2 linked regions of the Cricetulus griseus genome follow. The protein of the gene in region 1 purifies or fractionates together with the protein of each later gene. This does not show direct contact. Links are inferred from orthologs where the notes say so. Each region holds a gene or a part of one and is shown on either strand. Other genes may lie near its edges.

What was found.
Region 2: the proteins of Dtx3 (region 1) and Rnf114 purify together in Homo sapiens (affinity purification with mass spectrometry; 3 studies listed by BioGRID and IntAct, counting the BioPlex papers as one, with this or other methods). This does not show direct contact. The link is inferred for Cricetulus griseus from reciprocal best matches to the Homo sapiens genes DTX3 and RNF114.

What each region holds. Positions count from the first base shown.
Region 1 is NW_023276806.1:130,523,880-130,527,211, reverse strand, and holds the end of Dtx3 (probable E3 ubiquitin-protein ligase DTX3), read right to left. Parts: coding exon 2,780-3,332; intron 1,850-2,779; coding exon 1,382-1,849; 3' UTR 1,306-1,381; coding exon of another isoform or gene 1,230-1,305; 3' UTR 618-1,229; downstream 1-617. UniProt on the Homo sapiens protein: Regulator of Notch signaling, a signaling pathway involved in cell-cell communications that regulates a broad spectrum of cell-fate determinations.
Region 2 is NC_048599.1:11,902,974-11,906,788, reverse strand, and holds part of Rnf114 (E3 ubiquitin-protein ligase RNF114), read left to right. Parts: intron 1-1,137; coding exon 1,138-1,288; intron 1,289-3,815. UniProt on the Homo sapiens protein: E3 ubiquitin-protein ligase that promotes the ubiquitination of various substrates. In turn, participates in the regulation of many biological processes including cell cycle, apoptosis, osteoclastogenesis as well as innate or adaptive immunity.

The sequences.
Region 1 (3,332 bases):
CTGCTCCATATAACTTTTGTTTGCAGGTAAACTGAATCGCGGAGTGCACTTCTCCTGAAGTCCCCTAAAGACCCCCGACCCCAACGGCGGTCCCTCCTCCTTACCCCCTCCTGCCCGGGTACGGCGCATGCGCGCAGCATGCCCCCCATGACCCCCAGTATCCGGTCAGTGCGGCCAGGGGTGGGGCGGTCCGGGGGCTTCATGCTGGACCCCTACCCTGCTTCAGGTTTCAGGGCCGAGGGGCTACGGAAACTGGGGGGCTCTGAGGCCTGCGTGCGTCCGGGGAGTTGCTACCGCCGAATCCGCCCCCCTGCCCGGCTCCGCCCCGACTCCCACCGCAGCCAAACTTCGCAAAAAGGGTAGGGTTGGTCCTTTCTCCACAAACGGAGTTGAACAACAAACAAACCCCTCTTAATCCGGATTCCATCCATCGGAGTGTGGCCTAGGGCTCTGCAGGGTTATTGCAGCGCCCCGCACTTGTTCCATCCTGTTCCCCAGGGTCCCAGGAGGTAAAGGGGCTGTGCAGGCATGCGAGGATTCCCATTCCCTCATCTCCTTCTCAGCGGGTCCTGCTCCCCACCTCCACCCTGTCCAAGGAACAGAGGACGGGTGTGGCATAGAGTTGCATATTTTACTTTATTTTTATTAAATTAAAAGCTACAGTCTGGCAGCAATTCCAGAACAGGGTGAGGAGGCTCCTTATAGGGGCAGAGAAGAGCGAGAGAAAGACTGACAGACAGACACAGGAGAGAAAGGATCCGTTAAGGTAGGACTACTGTTATCTTAACACACAGCTGGCTGGGGGGGAGCGGGAGGCAGCTCATATCAGTCCAAGGTGAACCAGTACCGTATTCAGGGGCTGGAGTTGAAGAGACCTCCATCGTCCCTACCCAGATCCTTTCCCAGCTCAGTGACTGGAGCACAGTACATACCAGGAAAAGCCACAGACACTGGAGGGGCAGGGGGCAGAGAGAATATGTACACGGGGAATGCAGGGAGGGGAGCCTGGGAAGCCAGCCTCTGCCGGAGGGGAGTGGCTCAAAGGGCACTGGAGCACTTGGCCAAAGGGGGGCAGGGGAAGGGACTGTCCCCTTCCCCACTGAACTCCCACCCCAGTCAGACAAATCCCCTCGTGGGTGGTGTGGGGGCAGAGAAAGAGAGAACAGAGGCTTCTGTTGGATCCCAGTAGAAGAGGACAGCAGGGGCCTTGGCAAAGGGGATGGTGTCCTTCAGTCATCTGTGATACCCTTGGCTCTCAGTTCCTCTTGCACCCTAGTCAGGTAGGTGGGGTCCGGATACCCAAACCTGGGGCAAAGAGAAATGGGGGTCGGGGTTAGCTGGGTGGACTTGTTCATTAATACCCACCCTCATTTTGAGTGACTCAGTAGAGGCCAAATTCAGACCCCTCCCCAGTTCCCATGAGGAGGGAACCTCCAAAACCAAGATAGGCCAGAATCTGCAGGCTTTTTGTTTTGTTGCAGCTGAGTACATGGGGACTAGGATGAAAACAGAGTGAGGGAGGTGGGTGATCTCCAGTTAGGAGACTCCCAGCGGAGGGGGTAGATGACTCTCCCAGAGTGGAAATGGAGAGAGGGGAGGGAGCAGGGGAGGCAGATGAGGAGGAGGCGCACAGCTGGGGTCCCCCTGTGCAGCTGGTCTTGTGGTGAATGTCGTTCCACGTGATGACATTGGGTCTCCCTGTAGTCATGGACGTGCCGATGGTGAAGGTGAGACGTTGGTCAAAAGCCTTCCGGAACAGGGTCAGCACCTTGTTGCCCTCGGGGCAGTCCGGGAGGTAGGCCACCCGTGTGGTACCAGGATACCGAACTCCTGGGTTCGGGTGTTCAGCCTGAGTGGAAGAAGAGACAGAGTAGGCGGAGGGCAGCTGGCCACCTCAAAGGTCTGGGCACCAGCAGAGGGTCATTCTGGCCAGTCTTTTTGTGCATTCCCAACAGACCCACAGCCTTCCAGGAAAAGATGGCTTTGGGGTCTGGGCAGTAAGCCTGTTTCTGGACATAATTCTTAATTGTTAATCCCTCAAGTCTCAATTCGGGAACAAATGGACTCTCAGAAGCAATGGAGGTTACTTTCCAGACAACTCAGCAAAAATTCGACAACAAGAAAAACTTATCTTTCGGCATTCCCTCTACCTATAATACTAATGCTTCTGCCACTGCCTCGTGTTTCCATGCTTCCGTTTCTTCCCTTCAGTTCCAGCTGTACACAACTCTGTCCAACAGAAAGACGTTTACCTGCAACTCTAGTCGAGCGTTTATTGTCTCATACTCTGGAACAGAGTGGCACCCCAGCGCTCGGCATGGCCAGGTCCCTTCCTTCCTGGTGTGCCTGCCTGTATCTGGGTCACCAACTCCAGACTTTCCCTCCACGGAGAATGCCTGTCATAGCCACATGAGTCCAGCTACTAGTGTTCAAGCCTTTCTGTCAGACATGACTTCGAGGTTTTTTTTTTCCTTGTTTGATTTGGTTTTCTTGGGGGCAGGGATTGAACTCAGGGGTCCCCATCTTATAGAGAGGCGCTCTACCACTGAACTACACTCTAACCCCCATTCTTGAGTTTTACATTTGCCTTTGGGTCATGGTGATAAAAAAGCTGGGCCTCAAGAAGACAGCCCCCGCCCCCAGCTCCAGAGCACCAATTCCTAAAGCATGCTGGGAAACAGCAAGACTGTGTCAAGTCTAATGACATACTCCCCGAATAACCTATTTTTCTTAGGTCAGAAAGTGAACTAATAGGCAGGGAGAACTGTGCTCTTCTTACCCCCTGGACACCGGGCGGGAAGACATACTGGATGACAATGGTGCCGTACTTCTCATAGCTGGGTAGCAGGAGGGTGGCATCCTTGGAGACCAGCATCCGTCCGTTCTGGGGCTGGTTGCCCACAAGCTGCCCATAGAATCGGCCACACATGGGGCAGGCTTTTTTCACCTGCAGGGCCCGTGTGATGCAGCCCTCGCAGAATGAGTGCCGGCACTTCTCCAATGTCTTGGCATTCTGGATCTCCCCCAGGCAGATGGGGCAGGTGCTTTCCTGTTCTTCAGCCTCCTCCCTCAGACGAGGAGGAAGTGGAGGGGGCAGGGGGGGAGGAGGAGGGGGGAGCCCTCTTGCCCCTGGAGGCAGGAGTGGGGCTGCTCGAAGAGGAGGCGGACCTGGGCGGTGCAGCTCAGGGTGCTCCCCACCACCCCCCAGAGCCAGGCAGCCCATGAGCTCCCCCTGCCTCTGAGCTTTCTTCAGCTCCTTCTCAGCCTCTTTCAGTAACCCCTTGAGAGCCTTGCGGGCCAGGTAGAGCCCATTGGGAGGGGCTGGGGGAGGA
Region 2 (3,815 bases), on another chromosome or scaffold:
AAATCTTGTCTCAAACCCCCCCCAAAAAAAAAAAAAAAAACCTTTGACATGCTTTTGAGAACTTTTGCCACCCAAGTGCTGGGATTAAAGGTGTGCCCTACCACCACCTGCCAAGAAACACTTTCTAGAATTTGGTTTCCTTAGAGAATTGTCAGCCTGAGCCTCCCTCCCTCCCATATATCTTCTCTCTTTGATGTTTAACTTACCTGACTGTGAGTAAAGTTCCCTTGACACTTTTGAATTTGGGGTTGGTATTTGTTTGCTTTGTTCTTCGAGACAGGGTTCCTCTGTGTAGCTCTGACTGTCCTGGAACTTGCTATATGAACCAGGTTAACTTCAAACTCAGAAAGAGCCTCCTGCCTCTTCCTCCTGAGTTCCGGGACTGAAAAAAATTTTTTTCTTTTTTTCCTGTTTTTTGTTTTTTTTTTTTTTTTCACCAAGCATAGACTGAAAACAATTTTTAAAAAATATTTAACTTTATGTGCATTGGTGTAAGGATACCAGATCCCCTGGAACTGGAGTTACAGACAGGTGTGGGCTGCCATGTGGGTGCTGGGAATAGAACCCAGATCCTCTGGAAGAGCAGCCACTGCTCTTAACCACTCTCTAGCCCCCAGTTGTGATCTTTTAAGGCCGACCCAGAGGCTGCTTCTGAGGTCTGACCAGCCCTGTACTTGGGTTGTAATTAGCTCCACTGTGTGTGTTCCCATGCTTTGCTTTCACCTCTGAATTCTACTTCCTGTTTGACACATGCTGGATACCCAGTTAAGTGTTTGCTATTCATGGCCCATTCTCCAGCAGTCCTCCAGGTGGGTATGACATCTTCCTTTCACACAGAAGAAAACCGGGTCAGGAAACCCCACCAAGACTCCCTAGTGACAGGAACTAAGCTTTGAAGGCCCAAGCATGCCTTTCTCCACATAGTGGAGTGTTTGAGTGTGTGTGTGTTCTCCATAGTGTCCCCAGTGCCAGCTACAGTTTTCTTCTGTCCTGAAAGCGATTAGTATTTTATTTGAGTAAGAGTAGGAACACTAGACTGTTCAAATCCATTATTCATTGGTGTCTTTTAAAGAGGTGACCCACTTTTGTTGTCTTGTCTCTTTGCATGACAGAGGTTCTCTGTATGTCTTGTTCTAGCTTTTGCTCTGCATGCCTGCAGGAATGTCTGAAGCCGAAGAAACCTGTCTGTGGGGTGTGTCGCAGCGCTCTGGCACCTGGCGTCCGAGCTGTGGAGCTCGAGCGACAGATCGAGAGCACAGAGACTTCTTGCCATGGCTGCCGTAAGAATGTATGTGGACATAACATGGAGAGTCCTTGTCTTTCAGTGATGAGATGGTAAAACAGTGCAAGTGTCTGAAGTTAGAGCCTGGAGTAGTGATAAGAGCACAAGTGCATGCCTGCTGTTTGTGGTGGCTGTGCTGCTGGGGTTTTATTTTTTCCACAAGCTTGCTGGGGTTTTTTGTTTGCTTGTTTGTTTTTTTCATGAGTTGGTTTAGTGATTTATAGATTTTACCTTTGAAATCCATAGAAATAAGCTTCCACCCCCATAAAAGACCCATCTTCAGTTGGGGAGTGGTACATACCTCTACTCTAAGCACTTGGGGACAGAGGCAGCAAAGCTAGGAGTCCTGAAACATCCTAGGTTACCGAAGACCTACCTCAAAGTGTTAACTCTCGTGTGCTTTCTATTTTAATTAGAATATAAGGGTATTTCATGATTTTTAAAAATGTATATAAAATGAAGTTAGTGTCTCAAAACACCTGAGGCTAGGGGTGTAGTTCAGTAGAGTGCTTGCCTAGCATGCAAAAAGCCCTGGTTTCTATCCCAGCACTCTGTGTGGTAACGGGAAGATCCAAAATTCAGGGCCAACCTAGTATACATGACTGTTTCAAAACAAGAAAAGAAAAATCTGCACTGAGCTCAAAGGAAAGCTTTCGTAACCTGTCTCTGGACTCATAAATTCACTGGTTCTGTTTTAAGCCTTGAAAGACCCTGAGTTAGGGGTGTGAGGTGGAGAGTGCACTAGTAGTGTCTACCTACCAGTGGGCTGTGCCCGTGCCTGTGGTGTGCTTGCTTGCACAGCTCACTGCTGCTGGGAGCACAGATAACTGGTACTTTATCTTCCTTATTGATTTTAAGTCATTACAGTTTTATATTCCAGACAGTAAAAAAAATAAATAAAACACCACTGTTTGTTCCTCCATCAATCCCTCTTTGAAAGGTGGATCAGTTGGCTGTATGGTATTGCACACTGGTGACCCTGGCACCCAGGCTGAGGCCAAAGGATAGTTTTGCATTTAAAAAGCTGTTCAGCACTTTATACCTTTAGGTGTAAATGTGTACAAACACAGTGAGGGCACACACCCCTGCTACTTAAATTCTTTCTTTCTTTTTTTTTTTTTTTTTTAAGATTTATTATATATACATCATCCTGCCTCCACGTATGCCTGCACACCAGAAGAGGGCACCAGATCTCATTACAGATGGTTGTGAGTCACCATTTGGTTGCTGGGAATTGAACTCAGGACCTCTGGAAGAGCAGCCAGAGCTCTTAACCTCTGAGCTATCTCTCCAGCCCTCTTTCAACTTTATATTTGAAATTTTTGTTTTACTTCTTAGATAGCTTTGTACTTCGTCATCTTTGTTTTGCTTTTTTAGACAAGGTCTCATCATCTGGCTAGCTCAGACCTTGCTATGTAGACCAGACTGAACTTGAACTCAGAGTTCCATCTGCCTCTGCCTCTCAAGAGCTGCAGCATTAATAGGCATGAGTTACCACAGCCAGCTGAGTCTCATTATCTCTTTATTTCCACAGTCTCAATGCTACCACTGGCTGGCTTGTTTGGTTTGTTGGGAGTTTTGCTTTTGTTCTTTTGAGACAAGGTTTCTCTGTGTAGTTCTGATTGTCCTCAAGCTCTATATGTAGATGAGGCTGACCTGAGACTCAGTGAAGACCCACCTGCCTTTGCCTCCAGAGTGCTGGGATTAAATACTTATACCACCATGCCCAGGTTGGTGGGTGGTTGGTTGGATTTTTTTTTTTTCTTTCGTTAAAAAAAGGTTGGCCTTAAACTGATCTTCTGCCTCCATCTCTGAAGTGTTGAGATTACAAATGTGAGCAGTCATGCCTAGCAAGCTTCTTTCTCTCCTCCCTTTTATTTACTTAAGATTTATTTACTTCTATGTATATTGGTGTTCTGCCTCCATTTATGTCTGTATGAAGGTACCAGATCCCCTGAAACTGGAGCTATGACAGTTATGAGCTGCCATGTGGGTGCTGGGAATTGAACCTGGGTCCTCTGAAAGAGCAGCCGGAGGCCTTAACCATTGAACCATCTCTATAGCTCTTTGTTCTTTTACCCAGGGTCTCTTGCACCCTCAACTGGTCTCAGACTCATTTTGTCTAGGAATAACCTTGAACTCTGAACTTTGAGCATTGCAGTGTAGATGACCGTCGAATGGATGTATCTTTTCCCCTCCGTATTTCCAGAGGGGTTTAGTATTGGATGCACTGTGAGACTCTTACAGTGTCTATACAAGCCCATTACAACATTTATTTTCAGGCTTCTCAGTGGACTGTTGAGTCTGAGTGCTCTGGACCAACTCCAGCTCCTAGGTTGCCAGCTGAGTCGATGTGTTCTGGCTGATGCCTACAGCTCTGAGATTAGAACCCTGTCTCTTTATAGTTTTATTTTGAATCTCAACAAACTGGCCTCCATCTTTGTCTTTTTTCATGCACACTTTTCTTCCCTGTGTGCTTTAATTTCCCCCATTTGCAATGTAGTAAACCTGTGTGTTATTGGCACATGCTTAT